Linked DNA regions of Ovis aries. The protein of the gene in region 1 purifies or fractionates together with the protein of each later gene. This does not show direct contact. Links are inferred from orthologs where the notes say so. Each region holds a gene or a part of one and is shown on either strand. Other genes may lie near its edges.

The links. Proteins that work in one complex are often made in the same cells at the same time.
Region 2: the proteins of PEX5 (region 1) and PECR purify together in Homo sapiens (affinity purification with mass spectrometry; 3 studies listed by BioGRID, with this or other methods). This does not show direct contact. The link is inferred for Ovis aries from reciprocal best matches to the Homo sapiens genes PEX5 and PECR.

Annotation. Positions count from the first base shown.
Region 1 is NC_056056.1:209,072,673-209,077,892, forward strand, and holds part of PEX5 (peroxisomal biogenesis factor 5), read right to left. Parts: intron 4,851-5,220; coding exon 4,740-4,850; intron 4,489-4,739; coding exon 4,396-4,488; intron 3,895-4,395; coding exon 3,775-3,894; intron 1,249-3,774; coding exon 1,105-1,248; intron 907-1,104; coding exon 836-906; intron 460-835; coding exon 247-459; intron 20-246; coding exon 1-19.
Region 2 is NC_056055.1:218,077,821-218,083,040, forward strand, and holds part of PECR (peroxisomal trans-2-enoyl-CoA reductase), read right to left. Parts: intron 3,486-5,220; coding exon 3,375-3,485; intron 1-3,374. UniProt on the Homo sapiens protein: Participates in chain elongation of fatty acids. Catalyzes the reduction of trans-2-enoyl-CoAs of varying chain lengths from 6:1 to 16:1, having maximum activity with 10:1 CoA. Has no 2,4-dienoyl-CoA reductase activity.

The DNA.
Region 1 (5,220 bases):
TACTTCAAGAAACAGGGAGCTGGGTGAGGAAGACAAAGATGCAGAAAGGCAGGTGGATGGATACGTCTATATTCCCAGTACTCCCGTAACTAGCCCACGATGCATCCGTCCACCTGCACCCTTCCTTCCTTCCAACCCTGAGTCTCCCAACCCCCCAGAACTGAGCGGCAATCTACCCCAACTTCCACTGTCCAGGCCCTCCCTCTCCCTGGTCACCAACAGCCACCCCAGGAGCCCCTCACTCACTCGGACAATAGGGACCCCAGGATGCGCTTGCTGGAGCCCAGGCCCACCCCACCGGCCCCCTCTTCCCCAGGTGCCACCAGGTGGGCATAGGCCGGGGTGTAGCGTAGCCAGTCTCGCAGGGTCTCACAGGCCTGCCGCTGCAGGGACTCGTTGGTGAAGCTCACAGCCAGTGCCATCAGGGCCGTCCGGTTGTCTGGCTTTAGCTCCAGGCACCTGTTTGGACCGAGAGGGACGGGGCTGGTCTCAGTAGCGGCACCCTGCAATCCAAGCCGAGAGTTACCTGCCAACTCCCTCCATCCAGATACAGAGGAATTCCCTACTGGTGGGTCATTAATAAAGTCACAGATCTGAGAAAGGGGACATTTCAGCAGCTGAGGAATCAGCCAGGGTCCCCAAAATAAAACCAAAAGCTGGGGAGGGAATGGAGACAATTATTCCCAAGTTCACTCCAAACCTTAGAGTTTCATCATGAAAAAACGCTCGTTAGTGGCCAGAAAGAAGACCAGGACCTGTCGTTCTAAACGCTGTTTGTAGAGCTGCAAGACCACCTCACCCCTCCCTGACCCGTGCCTCTCTTCAGAGTACTCACTTCCGCAGCGCACTGATGGCTAAAAGTTCTTGCTCGTTCTCTGCCTGGGTGGTCCCCAGATACTGCCAAGCCTAGAGAGAAGATGCCAGATTTCATCACCCGTGTAGTCACTGTCCCTTCCTCTGGCTCCCCATGGACTCACCATCTCACTCCCAGGCCCCCACCCCAGGCCATCACCCAGACCCTAACCCTTGTGCACTACCCACTTCGGGGCCTCCCTCAGACTGGCGGAGCCCTCTCTAATCAGGTCAGAAGGAGGAGCCGCTCACTTCCATGTGCTTGGGGTCCTGCTGCACAGCTGCCTCGAAGAGCAGCACAGCGTTGGGCAGGTCCCCCTCCTGGAGCCGCCGCAGCCCCTCCTCGAAAGGCTGGGGGTGGTCCCGCAGGGGGTTCTCTTCCTCAAAGTGGTACCCCTACAAAGAAGAGGAGCCAGGTGAGACCCGGTCTCGGAAGGAGCAATCTCAGAGGGAGCAGCTATGGAGCAGTGGGAATGAGAGATGACAACCAGGACAGACAAGAGGCGGAGAGGAAGCGGAGGGCCTCCACAAAGGGATCCGGAGAAATGCTGGCAAACCCTTCATGTCACGAAGGAGACTGTCCACAACCACAGTGAAGCCAGCCCACGCTGCTACCCTGCTCCCAGCAGCTGGAAAGCCTGGCAAACTCTGATCCACACTGCAATTAAACTTATTTTTAGGAAGTCTTTATTGGCTGATATTTCCACATCCTTGACTCCTCAGCACTGGACAGAGCACATTTCTTAACAGGATCTGCTTAGGGTATGAGATAAGCTCTCTTTAGCTATTCAAAGGGCTTTTCTTGTTATCTTGCAATAGTGAGATAATATATAAAGGAAATGTGGTTTGAGGCTCTGCTATTCAAATGCAACTCTCACCCAGCTCACAGAGTCCTGTGCATACTGACAGGATTAGTATGAGTTCAACCACTTTGAAAAACTTAATTTATTCTCCAGTTTCATTCTTAAAAGTTATTAGTATTAATCTGTATCTGATAGTAAATGAAAGCTATATTCCAAAATCCTGAGGCCAGAAAAGGCTTCAGAGTCACGTCCTGTGCTAGTGGAGGTGTTCTCATTTGAGGGGTTAGGATGCGGTTGTGCTGAGTTCTGTCCCGGGGCCGTCCACGCAGCAGAGAGGTGTTAGGTAAACTGGATTCCTAGCAAGCGTGTGACTGTGACAAGGGAACAAAACGCTCCTTTGAGGAGAGCAGGGGTCACCACCACAAAACAACACACCAGAATGAAGACAAGATACAAAACACAGGACAAGGCCCTTTCTGAATATAGTTAAGGACAAACCAGAATAAAACCATGAAATAAGAACATAGATGAGGCCCTTCTTCACTATCATTGTGAAAGAGCTCAAGAACCAGAAATGCTTAATTCCTGCCAGCAAAGTTCTAAACCACTGTAAGCCATCAGATGCAAATTATTTGTGACAGATAAAAATTAAATAATTACAATGGAAATTTAAGAAATACGACATACAGGAGATGGACTTGGGATGTTGTTGTTTCTCAGTCACTAAGTCATGCTCGACTCTGTGACACCATGGACTGTAGCCCGCCAAGCTCCTCTGTCCATGGGATTCTCCAGGCAAGAATGTTGGAGTGGGCAGCCATTCCCTTCTCCAGGGATCTTTCCTACTCAGGCATCGAGCCTGGTTCTCCTGCCTTGCAGGCAGATTCTTTACTGTCTGAGCCACCAGGGAAGCCCGTGACAACCTACAAGATACAGGATAAGCCTGGGATCACTGTTACAGCTTAAGAAGTCTAACCATTAGGCCTGATCCACTGTCTGGTCTGCTCAAACTTTCATAGGATCATACTGCAAACACAGGGTCACTACCAAGTAGAGTGTATCCATCACAGAGTTTTCGCCATCATTTTAACAGTCTACAATAGCTGCTCAAGGTATGTCTGCAGTCTTGCAAATTTAAGGACCATGAATAAAAAGCTTTACATTCAGAGACCCATGAATTCCCTTGACAGAGTCAGAACCACATCTGCAGAAAAAAAAAACACTACTACTGACATATAATTCAATAACAGCAAAAGGCAGATAAAACCCGGATTGTTCATGTGATAATAAAGTTTAGCATATTTTTGTGGAACATTAATTCAATGCTTCTAATCCTAATTTTGCAATATCCCACCCAAGGTATCAATGATGTCAAAACAGGGTTCAAGAATCTAAAAACAGGGACGTCCTTGGCAGTCCAGAGGTTGAGAGTCCGCCTTCCAGTGCAGGGGACCTGGTCGGGGAACTAAGATCCCACATGCCCTGCAGCGTGGCCAAAAGAATAAATTAATTTTCTTAAACAAATAAGTAAATAGATACTAAGTTGGAGGGCAGAGATGGCCTACTACCTAACATTTTCTACCCAAGGAGCTATCAATGTTCTTAAAATGCTTTCAACCAACCTCCAAAGCAGAGCTCCTTCTTCTGTGCTCTTAACACATCATGTGCAAACCTCTGTTTCAGGTACTATGTCACTTATTATTGTTATTATTATTAACTTTTATATCCCAAGAATAAAGAATACTTTCAATGACTAGAGAAGAACATGGAGTGACCCTAATGGTAAAGAATCCACCTACCAATGCACGAGATTTAAAAGACACAGGTTCTATCCCTGAGTCGGGAAGATCCCCTGAAGAAGGGAATGGCTACCCACTCCAGTATTCTTGCCTGGAGAATCCCATGGACAGAGGTGCCTGGCAGGCTATAGTCCATGGGGCCGCAAAGAGCTGGACGCCACTGAAGTGACTTTGCATGCTAGGGAGTAATCCAGGCTTCCTTTTTATGGAAGGGGGCTCAATAAAATGATTATTTAAATGTGGGTACCCTTCAAATTCAGGATTAAAGGAGAGACAATAAAAGAAGGAAACCCTGCAACGTGAAAACAGCCACTTCTCACCTTGTCATAGGAAGCGGACGTGAGGTCATCATGGTCAGAGAGCCAGGGGTGGGCCTCAGCGTCACGCTTTGCCATCTCCTCCAACTCTGCCTGCAACTTGTCCCAGAAATCGACATCAGACTGTAAGGGAAGGAGGGCAGATAGGGAAGAAGGTCCATTGTGACGGCCCCGTCCCGCTCTCAGTGCCACTACAACGGGCTCCCCGCGCAGTAGCTCTTCCTTTCCCACGTGTCTCAGATCACCGGAAAGCTTTCCTTTGCTGCTCTTCCCAGATGCTATTTCCAGATCCTGACTCAGTGGTCTGGGAGGCCCAAGAACTGGTGTTTTTGATAGGCACCCACACCATCCCATGGCGAAGGAGATGGCAACCCACTCCAGTATTCCTGTCCGGAGAATTCCATGGACAGAGGAGTGTGGCAAGCTACAGTCCATGTAGTTGCAAAGAGTCAGACACGACTGAGTGACTATCACTCACACTCACCCCCCATCCCAAGTAATTCTGACACAGATGATCCAGAACATTATGAAATACAACGTCCGTCATCTCTAGCGCTGGGACACCCACTCTCTCCACAGGAGCATTTCCTCCTGGCTTGGTCACACTTCGCCAGCTGTTCTCACCTCTATGGCCGACTTGGCTCGTTCAAACTCCATATCGAGGGCAGACGTGTTTACTGGTCTTGTGAACTGGTCAACCCAGGCCTCTGACGTGCCCTGTAACAAAGCAGGCTGGTCATAGCACCACCACCAATTTTCTACCCACTAAACACTCAGTGAACACCCACTGGACACAACCAACCTGGGCACTTCTGAGAACATTCTCAGAATCTCTTTCCCGCCCACTCAGGACCTGGATGCTACCAAACAAGCTGGCAATAGGTTCCCTTCACCCTCTGGGACCCCTGAGCCCACGGCCGGGGGCACCAGCAGCTCCGGGGTGGGGCTGGGAGGTGACAGGAGCCTACCTGCTGCTGAATAAACTCTGCCGCCCACTGCTCTGCCTGAGCTCGGCCTGACCCTGCGCCGGACTCCAGGGACACCTGCCCCTCGCCAATCTGCCGCACGAATTTCAGGAACTGGGGCACAGAGATACACACAGGCCACTTGGGAGAGGACTTGCAGGTGCGCCCTCTCGACCATGCCCAGAGGAGCCTGCGCTGACCCCTCCCCTTGAGGACCACCTCTAGCTTCAGACAAGATACGCTAAGGACCCTGGAAAAAGCGGAGAGCAAAGAGAGGGGGATCTCTGGCTCTCAAGAATGGGAGATGGCACAGAAAGGACAGAGGGTTAGCAGGCAAGGAAGTGCAGGCAAGAAGACTCGGGGGAAGAGGCAGGGCCCTAAGTCTCTGCTCCCCAGAGAGGAAGGACTGGACCCCGGGTCCCAGCTCTTCCTGTTTAAACTAAACGGGGGTAAGGAAAGGGTTCCCCTGACTTCTTGGATGAAG
Region 2 (5,220 bases), on another chromosome or scaffold:
ACTTCTACTTCTAGAAGAGAAGAACACATAAGAGTTCATGACTATAGTCAAGAATGTTCACTGCAGAATTATTACAATATAAAAAAATTAATAAAATCTCAATGTGCAGCAACAGGGTCTAATGCTACAGCCATAGCAAGTTGCAGAAAAACTTAGAATCCCATTTTTCTAAAAAGAAAGTCAGTAAACAGAAATATCTTTAAGCATACACAGTAAATTTCTGGAAAGATATACATCAAACTGATAATGAAAGCTAGCTCTAGGAATTAGAACACATTTTTCTCTTAGAGAAAATTGCTTTTATATTTAGCATTTTAATATATCTGAAAATTATTTTGTATGTGATATGAGATGGGTGAGTCTAATTTATTTCTAAATGAACACTCAACTGCTGCAAGACTTTTGCTGAATATTCTTTCCTTGTAGATTTGAAATGTTACTCTTATCCTATAAACTCTGTGTGTGTGTGCGTGTGTGTGTGTGCAGTACTGATATGAGAGTCCATTCTATCCCACTACTTTTAATCTCTTCCAGCACCAACCCCAAATGTAGGAAACAACTGTAGCTTTACAGTATGCATTTTGAGGGGGTGGTTAAATAATTTTGTTTCTTTTGGGCCATGCTGGGTCTTCACTGCTGTGCGGGTTTTTCTCTAGTCTTGGCAAACAGGGGCCACCCTCCGGCTATGGTGAGCAGGCTTCTGACTGCACTGACTTCTCTGGTTGCAGAGCCCAGGGCTCTAAGGCATATGGGCTTCAGCAGCTGTGGCTCCTGCGCTCCAGAGCGCAGGCTCAGTCACTGTGGCACATGGGTTTAGCTACTTGTAGCATGTGAGATTATCCCGGACTAGAGATGGAATCCACGTCTCCTGCACTGGCAGACAGACTCCTTACCACTGAGCCACCAGGGAAGCCCTACAGTTTGTTTTGACAGCAGGAAGGTCAAATCCCCTCATTATTCTTATTCAAAACATTTTGGGCATTTTGGAATAAATATTTTTCTAGGGAAAACTTTAGAATCAATATATTAATTCCAAAGATATATTAAATGTGTATGTGTGATTTAGGGAAACTTGGTTTTAGTAAAATTGAATCTCTCCATTGAGGAATATGGCATGTCTCTATTTATTCTGGTCGTTTTTTTCTGTTCTTCAGTAATAAACTTTTTTTGGTTAGAGTTAAGTTCACTTTGGGTTTTTTAGTTTTTATTCTTATTCAGTTCAGTTCAGTTCAGTTGCTCGATCATGTCCGACTCTTTGCGACCTCATGAATTGCAGCACGCCAGGCCTCCCCATCCATCACCAACTACTGGAGTTCACTCAGACTCACGTTCATCAAGTCAGTGATGCCATCCAGCCATCTCATCCTCTGTTGTTCCCTTCTCCTCCTGCCCCCAATTCTTCCCAGCATCAGAGTCTTTTCCAATGAGTCAACTCTTCGCATGAGGTGGCCAAAGTACTGGAGTTTCAGCTTTAGCATCACTCCTTCCAAAGAAATCCCAGGGCTGATCTCCTTCAGAATGGACTGGTTGGATCTCCTTGCAGTCCAAGGGACTCTCAAGAGTCTTCTCCAACACCACACTTCAAAAGCATCAATTCTTCGGCGCTCAGCCTTCTTCACAGTCCAACTCTCACATCCATACACGACCACAGGAAAAAACATAGCCTTGATTAGACGGATCTTAGTTGGCAAAGTAATGTCTCTGCTTTTGAATATACTATCTAGGTTGGTCATAACTTTTCTTCCAAGGAGTAAGCTTTTAATTTCATGGTTGCAGTCACCATCTGCAGTGATTTTGGAGCCCCCCAAAATAAAGTCTGACACTGTTTCCACTGTTTCCCCATCTATTTCCCATGAAGTGACAGGACCGGATGCCATGATCTTTATTTTCTGAATGTTGAGCTTTAAGCCAACTTTTTTGCTCTCCTCTTTCACTTTCATCAAGAGGCTTTTAGTTCCTCTTCACTTTCTGCCATAAGGGTGGTGTCATCTGCATATCTGAGGTTATTGATATTTCTCCCAGCAATCTTGATTCCAGCTTGTGTTTCTTCCAGTCCAGTGTTTCTCATGATGTACTCTGCATATAAGTTAAATAAGCAGGGTGACAATATACAGCCTTGACGTACTCCTTTTCCTATTGGGGAATATATATCCTTTTTTAAAAAATTACATTTTAAGACTGATCTTGCTGGCATTTAAGAAAGCTATTGATTTTTACAGACTTAAAACTGGTCATCTTACAGAAATCAGGTACGGAACTTCATTTTGTCATAATTGTCTGACTTCCTTAGATTCTGTGTTCAGTTCAGTTCAGTCACTCACTCGTGTCTGACTCTTTGCGACCCCATGGACCACAGCACGCCAGGCATCCTTGTCCATCACCAACTCCCTGAGTTTACCCAAACTCATGTCCATTGAGCCGGTGATGCCATCCAACCCTCTCATCCTCTGTCATCCTCCTCTCCTCCCGCCTTCAATCTTTCCCAGCATCAGGGTCTTTTCTAATGAGTCACCTCTTTGCATCAGGTGGCCAAAGTATTGGAGTTTCAGCTTCAACATCCGTCCTCCCAATGAACACTCAGGACTGATCTCCTATAGGATGGACTGACTGTATCTCCTTGCAGTCCAAGGGACTCTCAAGAGTCTTCTCCAACACCACAGTTCAAAAGCATCAATTCTTTGGTGCTCAACTTTCTTTATAGTCCAGCTCTCACATCCATGTATGACTACTGGAAAAACCACAGCCTTGACTAGATGGACCTTTGTTGGCAAAGTAATGTCTCTGCTTTTTAATATGCTGTGTAGGTTGGTCATAACTTTCCTTCCAAGGAGTAAGTATCTTTTAATTTCATGGCTGCAGTCACCATCTGCAGTGATTCTGGAGCCCCCCAAAATAAAGTAATGCCACTGTTTCCACTCTTTCCCCATCTATTGCCATGAAGTGATGGGACTGGATGCAATCATCTTAGTTCTTTTAATGTTGAGCTTTAAGCCAACTTTTTCACTGTCCTCTTTCACTTTCATCAAGAGGCTTTTTAGTTCCTCTTCACTTTCTGCCATAAGGGTGGTGTCATCTGCATATTTGAGATTCTGCGTACTATCAAACAACAAAGAGCTGAAAAGTGCAATGAAACAATAAAAACATGCTGCTCTTAACCGACACTGCATCCATGCCAGAATAAATACTGCTGTGAGGATTCAAGGCACCACTAGCGCAGTATTCCTGGCAGCCAGAAAGCACAGGGAACATAGTTTGAGGGCATGGGAGCAATCTTCTCTATTAACCAATCAGACTATGTGAAAAGGACACTAAAATGTTACAGATCTCCAAAGTATAAAACAAAGTAATTCATCAGTGTTGGAAATACACATTACCTCCTCAGGAAATCCAAATCTTTTAGCTGGGATCTTGTGAATGTACTTGTTAAGCAGGTCTTTTGTCAAATGATCATAGTTGCTAAAAGCAGTCTCGGAATAAATGGTTCCCTATGTTTAAAATAAAACAGGAAAAAATAAAGTACATAAAATTAAATTTTAATCGGAAAGACAACAAGGCAGTCTGTCATCCAACACTAACAATTAAGTGGTTTAATAGTGGTTTAAGTTCACATGTGCAATGTTAATTTTTCTCAATATGGTCAAAGAAAAACAGTCAACCTCTACTAAAAACGGATAATCTGAATGCTCATTTTGTGACCTCCCCTCCCCTAATAACCAGCCAAGCTCAGGATGTTTTCATAAAAGACCTGGCTTCTGAAAGCATAATCATATGAGCATATCAGACAAGCCCTTAACTGGGGACAATGGGACAGGGTAGTCTATTCTGTCTTCCACTAAGGCTTCTATGTTTTACGATGGAAAACTGGCCTATGGTTAAGTGGGACTCAGAAAATACAATATTTTTATGGCTTTTTACCTAGAAAGAAATCACAAACAAAAAATTTGAATCCAATATAAATAAATTAAAATTTTAATGTTTAAGAATTCTTTTATTCAACTTTTAGTAGCTGTCAATGGTTCACAAAGAAAAAAATTACTTAAAAACTGTTTTAACACAGGATAAAGCTGCTTGTTATTGGCCCATAACTAGAAAGATTATTCGAAGGAGGGGAGAAGACAGGAGGGATGAGAATATGAGGAAGAAACTTGGCAGTGTTAATTACTCCAAACAATACTGGGGTGATATACTGGTTTCTGATTAAACAATTTCTCAGGCTTTCATTTAAAAAGGATGGAATCTTCCAGAGGTATTAAGGTTTAGACATTAAACCTCAAAACATCTCTGGAGGACAAATGTGACTTTAGTATTATGGTTACAGCACCAACACATCATTAAAGGTTGTCCAGAAATGTGTATGTAGAGACCAACATTCCAAAGAATCAACATTCAGAATGGAAATCTATCCAATCTGTCCTATAAATATTTGAGAATAGGTAGAAGTTCTTGCCTGGAGAATCCCAGGGACGGGGGAGCCTGGTGGGCTGCTGTCTATGGGGTCGCACAGAGTCGGACACGACTGAAGCGACGTAGCAGCAGCAGCAGCAGCAGCAAAGGTAATGTCCGCCCCAAATGATTAAAAGGGGCTAGGAACCTGCATTTGTTAAAGATAAGATCTAACAACCACAAGTCAGCTCATGCTTAGTTCCCACTGAGTAGCACAGATAACAATATCTATAAATATTATCTATATATATTATCTACATATATATTATCTATAACTATATAGATATTAATAGATCCATAGGTAACACCCCCAGACTGGGGGATGATGACTCTCTTAGCAATGACCAGGAATCATCACAGAGAAGTGAATTTGAGCTGAGTTTTGCAGGATATGTGCGAAGTCTCATTTATTATCCCTCTTGGATTATGTGGTTGACATGTAAGGACCAAGGAAGCTTAAAGTTATAGCTTAAAAAAAAAAAAAACTATTTATTTATTTTGGCTGCATTGAGTCTTAGCTACAGAATGCAGGATCTTCACTGTGTAAGTTATGTCTTATGAACGTTAAAGTCGCTCAGTCATGTCTGACTCTTTGTGACCCCATGGACTATACAGTCCATGCAATTCTCCAGGCCAGAATACTGGAGTGGGTAACCTTTCTCTTTTCCAGGGGATCTTCCCAACCCAGGAATCGAACCCAGGTCTCCCACATTGCAGGTGGATTCTTTACCAGCTGAGCCCCAAGGAAAGCCAAAGAATACTGGAGTAGGTAGCCTC